Linked DNA regions of Lytechinus pictus. The protein of the gene in region 2 purifies or fractionates together with the protein of the main gene of each other region. This does not show direct contact. Links are inferred from orthologs where the notes say so. Each region holds a gene or a part of one and is shown on either strand. Other genes may lie near its edges.

The links.
Region 1: the proteins of T-complex protein 1 subunit beta-like (region 2) and dynein axonemal assembly factor 10-like purify together in Homo sapiens (affinity purification with mass spectrometry; 3 studies listed by BioGRID and IntAct, with this or other methods). This does not show direct contact. The link is inferred for Lytechinus pictus from reciprocal best matches to the Homo sapiens genes CCT2 and DNAAF10.
Region 3: the proteins of T-complex protein 1 subunit beta-like (region 2) and viral IAP-associated factor homolog purify together in Homo sapiens (co-immunoprecipitation; 3 studies listed by BioGRID and IntAct, with this or other methods). This does not show direct contact. The link is inferred for Lytechinus pictus from reciprocal best matches to the Homo sapiens genes CCT2 and PDCL3.

The regions. Positions count from the first base shown.
Region 1 is NC_087251.1:10,516,400-10,520,157, forward strand, and holds the start of dynein axonemal assembly factor 10-like, read left to right. Parts: upstream 1-1,308; 5' UTR 1,309-1,486; coding exon 1,487-1,660; intron 1,661-3,758. UniProt on the Homo sapiens protein: Key assembly factor specifically required for the stability of axonemal dynein heavy chains in cytoplasm.
Region 2 is NC_087263.1:2,305,211-2,308,968, reverse strand, and holds the start of T-complex protein 1 subunit beta-like, read right to left. Parts: upstream 2,290-3,758; 5' UTR 2,203-2,289; coding exon 2,200-2,202; intron 590-2,199; coding exon 455-589; intron 1-454. UniProt on the Homo sapiens protein: Component of the chaperonin-containing T-complex (TRiC), a molecular chaperone complex that assists the folding of actin, tubulin and other proteins upon ATP hydrolysis.
Region 3 is NC_087245.1:32,495,570-32,499,327, forward strand, and holds the start of viral IAP-associated factor homolog, read left to right. Parts: upstream 1-1,160; 5' UTR 1,161-1,311; coding exon 1,312-1,317; intron 1,318-3,758. UniProt on the Homo sapiens protein: Acts as a chaperone for the angiogenic VEGF receptor KDR/VEGFR2, increasing its abundance by inhibiting its ubiquitination and degradation.

The DNA.
Region 1 (3,758 bases), on a different chromosome or scaffold from region 2:
TGACCAATGAAGGGCAAACCACAAGTGTATTGCACTTTGCGAAAGTGAACATTTAATTTTTTTCATTAATAAAGGTACAGTGAATTATTAACTTGACCTCAAAAAATTATTTTAAAAAAGTAATGAAAACAAGAATGCAAAATTGTTGGAATTCGGCATGAAACAGACATGACCTGTTCTCTCCATCATTGTGCATCTCCCATTATCAGACTTGAAATAAATAGTCAAGTACTGTTGTTGCCCTTCTGAATATGCTCAAGGTTGTTTATGAGCATGGTTTGATCAAGTAAATTTATTTATGAAGACTGGAGCTTTTAATTGCTAATAAAATGAAATTACAAAGAATTCATTTCATTACTGAAAATCACATGTGGACGTTGAGATGTGTAGCCCCGAGATATACGGAATGAAACCATTAAGGTTTTCTTTGTAAAATGATGATAAACGTTTTTTTTTTATTCCATACATCATCAAAATATAGTGCAACAGAAATTGTGTAAATCGATAGATATACTGAAAGATATGATTTGACAAATTCTATGCATAAATTAGAGATTGTATTTATCAAAATATTGAAAAGGGTCTGAGAACCATGAGTACGAGTCCAGTGGCAGAATCTTTATTGATTCAATTATTTTACTATTTCAAAATGAATGGTTTTGTGGTGTTTTACAATTATCATTGAATGAGCCGTCTCACTTGTTCTGCAATGTAATTTCAACTTCTATGATTAATTACTGTATGTAAGATTACAATTTTCAAATTTTGAGGCACGAGTCTACCCACTTGATGCCACTACGTCATTACAAAAGAAGTTATGACTGGTTCGGAGGTGTCATAAATATTTAGTCAGGTTCTTGTCCCCGATCTTGGCAAAAAGGGCTTCATGAAATGGTTATAGAGGACAAGTAGCTCACCATCTCCGATTTAGTCAAGAAGTTAGACTTATGATGAAACAGGCCCTTGAATAATAAATGGAAACTAGTAAAAGTGAAATTTTCTTCGGCTTTTCTTCATTTATTTTGCTGAGATAACATATTTCATTTTTTTTATGTAAGTTTTTAAAGGTTGACCATGGGGGAGGGGAAGGAAAGGGAATCCACTTCTTTAAACACATTTTGTACAAAAAGCATTAAAAAAAGTGGGATTTGGTGTTGCACCCACCGGTTCCACCACTGATGTGCACACCCCCCCCCCCCCCCCCGCCTTCTGCCCTCTTTGGGTCTGCACAAAGGTAAAGTTACACGTCGTTGAAGTCTTGCTTGGTAAATATGTTTTCCCTTTTTAATTTGTCTTGCTTTTACCCATATATATAATACACGAGCGCCGCCGTATCGATATCGCGAAGAACTTCCTCAATCTCGACACTGTCTTAGCTTAGCCTTAGCGCTTAGAAACGGGACGCCGATTGCAAATTCCATCTATTCGGATACTATTAACAGTATATTTTGATTCCGACGTAATTCTCACTTGTGTGAAATTCAGTATGGACAAACCACAGATCATAATTCATGCTACAAAATCCTTGAACATAACGCTATACGACGTGAAATGGATCCCCAGAAGTGCCCGGTTCGTTGTGCTTGGTTGCCACCCGAGACAGACGGGGGCTTTGCAAGTGTTCGAGATGGATCAAGGAGAACCTAAATTAATACACGAGGTAGTATCAGATTCGTTGTTCCGGCGGGGAGGTGGCACTGCCGTGGTATTGATTTTACAAGATGGACACCAGTCACACCACACTTGTCCATGTCAATGCATTTACTGACCTGGGCCGTATTCTGAAAATTGCCTAGGCCCTAGTTAAAGGTCAATCAAGTCCACCCTAGGGCCTAGCCAGGCGGCTTCTAGAGAGTAAAAATCATTTACTAACGTAAGGTCAATCTCATGAAGCCAGGCCTTCTATCCCATAGACCCACACAATGGAAGCCAAAACCTGAAACTTTCACCCCCGAAATTTCTACTTTCTTTCTAAAAGATCTAGCCCTAAATCATGTACATGGGATAAAACTTCATTTCCGACATTTCTACGCTCTCGTTATTTTTCAACAAGAATACATCAAAAAAATGAGAGAAATATTGTGTAAAGACGGAAGAGACTCGTCCAATGTTTACGCCGCCATCTTGTTTCCTATTGTTCTTCGCCAACGTTACAGACGTGTGCGTCGGGTAACGTTGGGGAAGAACAATAGAAAACAAGATGGCGGCGTAAACATTGGGCGAGTCTCTTCCGTCTTTACACAATATTTCTCTCATTTTTTTGATGTATTCTTGTTCAAAAATAACAACGAGAGCGTAGAAATGTCGGAAATGAAGTTTTATTCCATGTACATGATTTAGGGCTAGATCTTTTAGAAAGAAAGTAGAAATTTCGGGGGCGAAAGTTTCAGGTTTTTTGGTGGTACACGCAAAAGTATATGACGGAAGCCCTGGCTTCATATGAGAGTGACCTTACGTTAGAAAATGATTTTTACTCTCTAGAAGCCGCCTGGCTAGTCCACCCCAGGAAACATGTCATGGGAAAATGTAACCCAGGGAGCTCCGGCCCGCACAGCGGGCCGGAGCCCAGGGGCTTACCGTGTATTTGACCATACTCACGGGACTAGCGTGATTTATGGTCTAAATATTTCTCCAAATGAATTGTGAAAACAGAAATTATGCACTTACCACGATTATATGGATGAAGGTCTAACGAGTGGCAGTTTCCTGACATCGAGGCACAGACTGGAACTTCAAAAAAACGAAAAGTTCTCTCCTTCTACCCCCGTCTCGATTGGCCATTTGTGTTATGAATCGTAACAAAATGGCCGATCGAGACTGGGGTAGAAGGAGAGAACTTTTCGTTTTTTTGAAGTTCCAGTCTGAGCCTCGTCAGGAAACTGCCACTCGTTAGACCTTCATCCATATAATCGTGGTAAGTGCATAATTTCTGTTTTCACAATTCATTTGGAAAAATATTTAGACCATAAATCACGCTAGTCCCGTGAGTATGGTCAAATACACGGTAAGCTCCTGGGCTGCGGGCGGGAGTTCCTGGGTTAGGGAAAATGCTGACTTGAATATAGACAGCTGGCATCCGTCTGTTTCGAGGAGTTTTTTAACTTTTTTTTATTTTTTAAATTTCTCCTCGTAGTCCTACACAGACGGCTTGCTATCCTGCAGCCACCATTAGGGGACTTACAATGCAAAATCCCCCTGTCGGGGCTCTTCAATTTTTGTCTTTAATGAATCAAAATCTTGAAAATTAATGCGACCGAAATGTAAATTAATATTTCCTCTTGGTATTAATTGCCAAAAACAGGGAAAAAATCAAGTTAAAAGGAACAGAAACAGTGACTTACCTCGGCTGTCGCGCAAAATCACTTCCCTGTTTTATCCAAACTTAATACATACACGCATGGCCATTCAGTCCCCTGTACAGATCGCGCAAAAACTTTGGTCTCTGTATTTGGTGAGTGAAGCCAACAGAGTTCAGCTGAACAACCAACATAACATAACAGAGACCGAAGCTTTTGGTCTAACTTGAATAAAGAGAAAAATCAAACTAGCATAGTGCTGAAAATTTCATCAAAATCGGATGTAAAATAAGATAGTTTAGTTATGACATTTTATTAAAGTTTCGCTTATTTTTCACAAAACAGTGATATGCACAACTAGGTGAGTCAGTCGATGTCAATCACTATTTCTTTTGTTTTTTATTGTTTGAAAAGAATTATACAATATTTCGTTTTTTACAGATTTGACAATAAGGACCAACT
Region 2 (3,758 bases):
TGATCATCTTTAGAAAGAAATTCCTTTTTCCAAGCAGAACAGCTTACGGCCAGGGCTCCACACTAACCCTTTTTTTCTACTGGTCCAACCTGTTCATGTCGGACCAGTAGATACCCAATTTCTCCTTATTTTACTGGTCCGAACCTAAATATACTGGTCCCCCAAACTAAAGAACACCATAAACAAGAATAAGTTTATTTTGCTGTCATTTATTGCTTTTATTGCCCCCCCCCCCAAAAAAAAAATACAAACAAACAGTACACACAGCACAATTCATGAGAGCCATTTTTATAATTTACAAGAGGAGAAAATATAATTTGTATAAGCTTGAAATATTTTTTACTGGTCACGTCAGACCAGTAAATCTGGGTAATTCTGAAAAGTTACTGGCCCGACAGCAATTTTTACTGGTCTGGGACCGTCGGACCAGTGCCAGTGTCGCGCGCAGGCTTACCATTCCTTTGGGACCTAGTGTGCTCTTGATCAAGTCTCCAATGGCGATGGCGCCAATGAAAGATGACATACGAGCAAGCTCTGCTTTCTCCTCCTCCGCATTATGCTTTAGAATCTGAACAGGTTGAAGGGATACCTATGACAAACAATAAGAAGTGGAAATTAAACATGCAAAAATTTCTTAAATCATGTTGTCTCTCTACTGATAAAAAAAATTTCCATGTTGACAATGCTCAATGTAAATACATTGGGTACGAAAATACATTAATAAAAAAAAAAAAAAAAAATATATATATATATATATATATATATATATATATTATTAATGCCATTTAACTTGAATTTATGAAAGAACCTAAAGCAAGGTTTACATGTAAAAGAAAATTGATGCTGATATTAAGCTGGTTTAGCAGGGGAAAAAAGAAAAAGTATCACTACAAAGCCTGGCTTGGCAATAAACCATTTATTTTGAAGAACACCAGATGCATAGTTATATTAATGGAATGAGTGAATACAGCAGTTTTTCCATTTTTCAATTTCCCCCTCCCCTTATTTCATTCACTTTTATCAATATCCCTCCTTTTTTCTCTTTTTTCCCTCCTCCCTCCCTATTTTCGTCTTTTTTCTCTTTTTTGCGCTGCCAATACAGTGGGGAGCTGGGGGCGGACCCTTTGACCCCCGCCTGGATTATTTAGGCTAATCGCCACGCACAAAAAAATCAAGCCATAGAAGTCACGTGTTGTGGACGCTAGAAGTGGGGTCGCAGCATGCGTGACCCACTAGTAAGAAATCCACTGCCAAACGCGGTTCATGGTGCGAGGTTAGCAATAGTATACTAATACTAACCTCGCACAAATTATTCCATTTTATCTTTATTATTCCATGTTACATCTGAAGGTCAAACATCAATTTGGTATCCTGCCCCCCCCCCCCCGAGTTTAAGGTAAATTTGATGCCGCTTCATTTCAGGTCAATTTGGCACCCCAAAGGTCGAACTCAAACATGAATTTGCCCCCCCCCCCCACTTCCCGGCTTTTTAATTACTTTTTTTCCTCTCTCCCCTTTTTTCTCCTTTCTCCCCTTCCCTCTTTTTCCTCTACCCTCTCTTTTTTCCCCCTTTTGTCTCTTACTCTTCATGTCTTTTTACTATTTTTCTCTCCCTTTTCTTGTCCTCTCTTTCCTTCCCCCTTTTCAGCGCTCTCCCCTCCCTTTACATAGTACATGCATGATTGCTTGCCTTGCAGTTGAAACAACAACAGCACACACACTCATGACACTTTCTTTGTGTTCACTGGACTGTCCAGCCTCCAGGCGTTTCTCTAAATCTGCATCATTTTCATTCTCTGTCTCTGACCAAATCAAGAATGAAGAAAGCAGCACCGGGAATCCGGGATTGCCAAAAGATTTTAGGACAACAAAAAATACTGAATTCACCACTTAATTTTCGTAATTGAGATAGATCTAATAGTTATCCTTATTTACTATCAAAGTATAATTAGAAAAGTTAAGATTGGGAGCGCTCAGGCTCAGCCTCATCCATAACGAAATCATCATTTTGGGGAAAATACACAAAAATCAATAGGCGGGATCAGGGTAATTTGCGGTTGCCAAGCAATTATAACCGGCGGACACTTCATGTAATTAAAAACATTGTATGACAATCATGCATAAAATAAAATCCATCTAATGGATAAGCACTAAATTCATATTTAACGATAATGATATATAAACAGTGAATATGCATACCATTTTGAAGAATTAGGGTGTGTTTCGAGTGAATTTTCGATCTCTTTTTTAGCACGAGGAACTGTAAAATTTTCAACACCAGAGGGCGACGTGCGTTGAAATTTAGGCTCGGTAGAACCGTCTCGAACATTTTGTAAAAGGCCCTACATAATATATAGTTACCGGTAATATAAAAACAAAATTGATTCCCACATAGGCCTATGCCTTAATCAATAATCAAACCAAACTAGATCCGACGCTGGATGGATCAATGTGAGTTTAAAACATAAACTAAACTAACTAAACTAATATACAAAAAAATACAATTGATATACGCGACGCTTCCCAGAAGGAAAAACCAGTTCCACTGGACCAGTTAGACCAGTAGAATTTTAACTGATAACTCTGGAAATTGGAACATCGATTTTCTGGTCTAACTGGTCCAGTATACTGGTCTTGTTACTGGTCTCACTGGTCTTCATACTGGTATCCAATTCAAGCTGGTCTTTACTGGTATTTTCTACTGGTGTGACTGGTCCTCGAACTGGTCGTACTGGTCCTCGTACTGGTCTTACTGGTTCAATTTATTACATGCATTTGGTTTGTTATATACCATGGTCAGTGAAATGTGATGGAAAAGATGGTTAGTAAATTAATATTTCTGCTGTTATTTTAAATGTGATATATGAAATTACACATTTTCATTGTGAATTAGTTCACACACTTATTTAGAAAGTTTTTAAACAATAATGAGTGCCATTGCATGCAAGGATATTTTATTCTAAATCCTGATTTTTCTTTAAAAAATAGGAAATATGCAAATGAGGTAATCCACGTGATCAGTTTCATCAGAATTACTGGTATTGCTGGTCTTGACCAGTTCAATTTCAAACAATGAATTACTTTAGACCAGTTGACTATATATCAGAGGAATATATCTTGCTTTGATCTTGATCATAATTATTTTAATGATAATGTTAATACTTGATAATTATGATAATATTAATAATACAATGATAACAGTAATAAGAATGATAACAACAATGATCATAATAATCATAATAATAATAATGATAATGATAATTATACATAATGGTTAGTCGCGTGCATTTGAGTGTCCGAAAGTCCCCACACACAGCTTCAACACAGGGAACAGTGGTTTTCATAAACGTAATATTGCAGAAATCCGGGTATATCTTTATAACTATTAATAATCTCACACCAGATTGATAATAGTGTGAAAATTGTATCCAATTCCATTAATTCGATGTAAATATTATTACAATTAATACACTATTAACGTCTCGCTGTTCATTTGAAAGTGTCCATGTTCACAACTTTTGTTATGGCAAACGGTTTAAAACCATCCATATTTTCGAGACGCTGGCACCTTTGTTTTCCCCCTGGAATTTATTTATTTATTTATTTATTTATTTATTTTGTTTTATTTATTTTATACTGCAGGGTAGGCCTGTTCAGTTCTTAAAACTGCTTTACAAAGGCGCCCTGCAGTTTAAAATAAATGTCAAGATAACTATGAACAACAACAAACAACATCAAAAATACAAAAATACAAAATA
Region 3 (3,758 bases), on a different chromosome or scaffold from region 2:
AGGACCCCCAGTGCCCCCCCCCCCCCCCCCAGGAAAAAAAATCCTAGCTACGCAACTGGTCGAAGGTGGTGAACATCTAGTTAGTTCGGGCAATTAAACAATAATTATTGACGAAACCAGGAGGCAAATTCACAAGGCCCTGGGAACAATTTTGGGGTGGGGTTGCTGATGTACATTTTGACAAGCAAGCGAGAATAAAAAAAAAAACAATTCCCCAAAAGGGGGGGGGGGGTTCACAAACATGTTTCTTCGGTCTCGAAAATATTGACAAGCACCCCAAAGTAGAATAAAAATGGGTTTCACTACAAAATATAGGTCAGTTTGATAACATGTTTCCATTTTTTAACACCTACAATAATTTATGGGAGTGCTGCCTATAATCAGCTAGACGCAGCACCCCCAAGGAAAATCTTCAGCACCCCCGCATCCCATGCAGGGCCATGAAAATCACAAGGTAATAGTTGGGTCACGGTATTAACTGACATTGATTGCTTGTCATATCGAAAAGTTTAATTTTCTCTTCTTTTTATTCCGGATGGGGGCGGGGGTCCTCTCGCTCGCTTTGCACCTCTCACACGGCAGCATTTACTTCTTTTTTAAAATTAATTTCTTGAATGTGTGTACACCCGGGCGTTTGAAAGCCTCAGTTATGCATACATTTACGTAGGAATTGTGACTTTATTCGTACGACTGCATGGTGACCTTATCTTTGCCTTGAAGATGAGGGATATGATATGCAAGGCAGACCAAGCTTGCATGAAAAAGAAAAATACCCTGAGCTAGAACTCAACTGCTGGAATACAAATTAGACGCTTTGTCGATCTTTGATCAATTTTTTGTGAGAACTAAAAGGGGGTCAGATCTCATACACTTTGTTGATTTTGCTAAAAAAAAATAATATACTCCTTTTCCTATTTTTGACAATGTTTCTCTTTCTTTTCTCAGGTACTCCTGTTTGCATGCTAGCAATTTTTTTTAATTTTTTTTTTTGGGGGGCACGTGACCCCATATCCCAGTGTAGTTATTCACCTGGATCATGACTATCACTGACCTGTCAAGCATATACAAGGAGGATATTAATTCTTAAAAAATGTGACAAAACAAAATTTTAAAGGATTGCACTTATATTTTTTTTGCACTGAACGTGCAAGTAAAACAAAAACAAAATCGTGATCGATAGCGCTGCTGCATAGTATCGATATCTAGCTGAGGCGGAAATACTATCTCTCGAACCCGAGAAACGAGAGTTCTTATTTATTCTATTTGCGAAGCATCTGAGTCTCTCCCAGTTATCTAAAGTATATAGAAATCATGCAGGTAATGAAACGAAGTTTTGAGTGAGTGAATGATATTTATGATTATATATTTGTGTTGATTTTTAAGGGAATGTTGGGAAATTGAATAGAGGAAGCCTGAATACAATACACAAAAATGCACATTCGGGACTGAGCTGTGAGTACGTTTAAACATTGCACTCGTGATAAATCAATGGAAATGAGAAGTGGGCGGAGCTCCAGCAGAGCTTATCAATAGTCATTGCCGTGCGTGGATTTCCTTATTTGGTTATTAAAACATCTTCTTGTGTCTGGCAAAGGCTAAAACGTTTAAGATCTACATGTGTAATCATGATTGTTTTGTTGTTTTTGTTAATTTTCACTGAATTGGTTGTTCATTTGTACTAACTTTAGCCTTTTTAATGATAGGGAAGTTAGGGTGTCTGGAGAAAAGAAATATTTTTCTTATTTCAAGAAAATATCACATTTTTTTGTGAATTTGAAGAGAATTAACCATCAGACTGACAGAAATATAACATTTTTTGTTTAAATCCAATTATTTGCTGCAAAAAAGAAGAATGAAATTAGGTCAATTTTCAGCATTTCCTTGCCATAGACTGTGTAGTTAATAAATGGACACACACAAATCCAAATTTTTAGCTTCCGAGAGCTGTTATAAAAACTTATAAATTCATTATTAATGCCAAAAACTTGTCCATAAAGTGCCTAATATGAATTTTTATGCTCTTTCTGATGGTATGATTTTTATAAAGATTTGAAAACCAGATCACTATGAAAAATTGCGACAAAGTGAACAAATTTGTGCAAAACAAAAATTTCATTTTCCCATAGAAAACGCATGGGGAAATGGCAATCTCAACACACACACAAATAAGGGTTTGCAATTTATCTCTAAATCCTCATTTCAAATAATCCTATAAACTTGTCCTTACTGTTAAAAGAAGCCCCTGAATTTTCTCTTTCCATACATGCCAAATACAAGTTAAAGGACAAGTCCACCCTAACAAAAAGTTGATTTGAAAAAAGGAGAAAAATCCAACTAGCAAAACACTGAAAATTTCATCAAAATCGGATGTAAAATAAGAAAGTTATGACATTTTAAAGTTTCGCTTAATTTCACAAAACAGTTATATGCACATCCTATTCAGTATGCAAATTGGCAGACTGATGACGTCACCCACTCACTATTTATTTTCTATTTCATTATATGAAACATAAAATATTCTAATTTTCTCCTCCTTGTCAAGTGAAACAAAGTTTTATTTCTCCCTGAACATGTGGAATTACCATTATCTTAACAGTTCCTTATTGTCAAATTTGTAAAAATTGAAATATTTTATTATTCAAACAATAAAAAACAAAAGAAATAGTGAGTGATGGACATCATCGACTCTCTCATTTGCATATCGCTGAGTTGTACATTTAACTGTTTTGTGAAAAATAAGCGAAACTTAAAAATGTCATAACTTTCTTATTTTACATCCGATTTCGATGAAATTTGCAGCGTTATGTTTGTTTGATTTTTCTCTATCGATTCAAATCAACAATTTTCTGGGGTGGACTTGACCTTTAATAATTAATTCAGATCACATTTTTATAGCAGCCTGAATTTCCAGAAAAAATTTGCCATATTTTCCCCTAAATCAGCCTGTTTTAAGCTGACACTTTTCAGTGTGGCTTCAGACACCCTAATGATAGGCAAGAGTACCGTACTTGGGTCAAACCAAAAACTTTTGTAATTAGACCTACCACTACAGACACTGATTGAGTCAGCTAAGGTTAGTAGGCCTAGAACTTTGTAGAAGGAAACTTTATATTTTCTGAACATACACTATACATGTAGGTATACATGCACTAAATGATAATTGTTGAAGTATTAGTAATACTCTCAAACTTGTCAAAGAATTTTCTTACCATGACACAGGTACATGTAAATTAGATGGCCTTATTACAAAACAACATCTAAACTCAATCACAATTATTGGAAATACTCCTGTAAAATTGCAAAAAAACTGACCACAATGCACAACCATATCGTCCATCTGCCACGTCGACATCTGGTTTCAAGAATTAAAAGACTTTGTAATATATAACACTTACTTTGCTTGGAAGACGATTGACAGATGAATAGAATTTGTAATAGTATGAAGGTGGGCACCATGTCTGCGCACCTAATTATGTAATTTTTAATTTAACATGAATTTGTTTTAATTCCACAATACTTTTTCCATTGATAAAGTTCCTTATATGCTTATGAGGAAGTGTGCCAAAAATCTCATAAAAATTGGAAATAGATAATGGCCAGTCATTTTCAGATTAAAAAAGAAATGGTGCCCCATGTCTGCACACCCATTCACTTTACACACGATTCAGGGATTTTGATGAAGAAGGCAGCGTGTTGAGGCCGTCAGATGAAATGCCTAAAATTAAGTATTTTCCACCATTTTGAGTCAGATTTTTTAA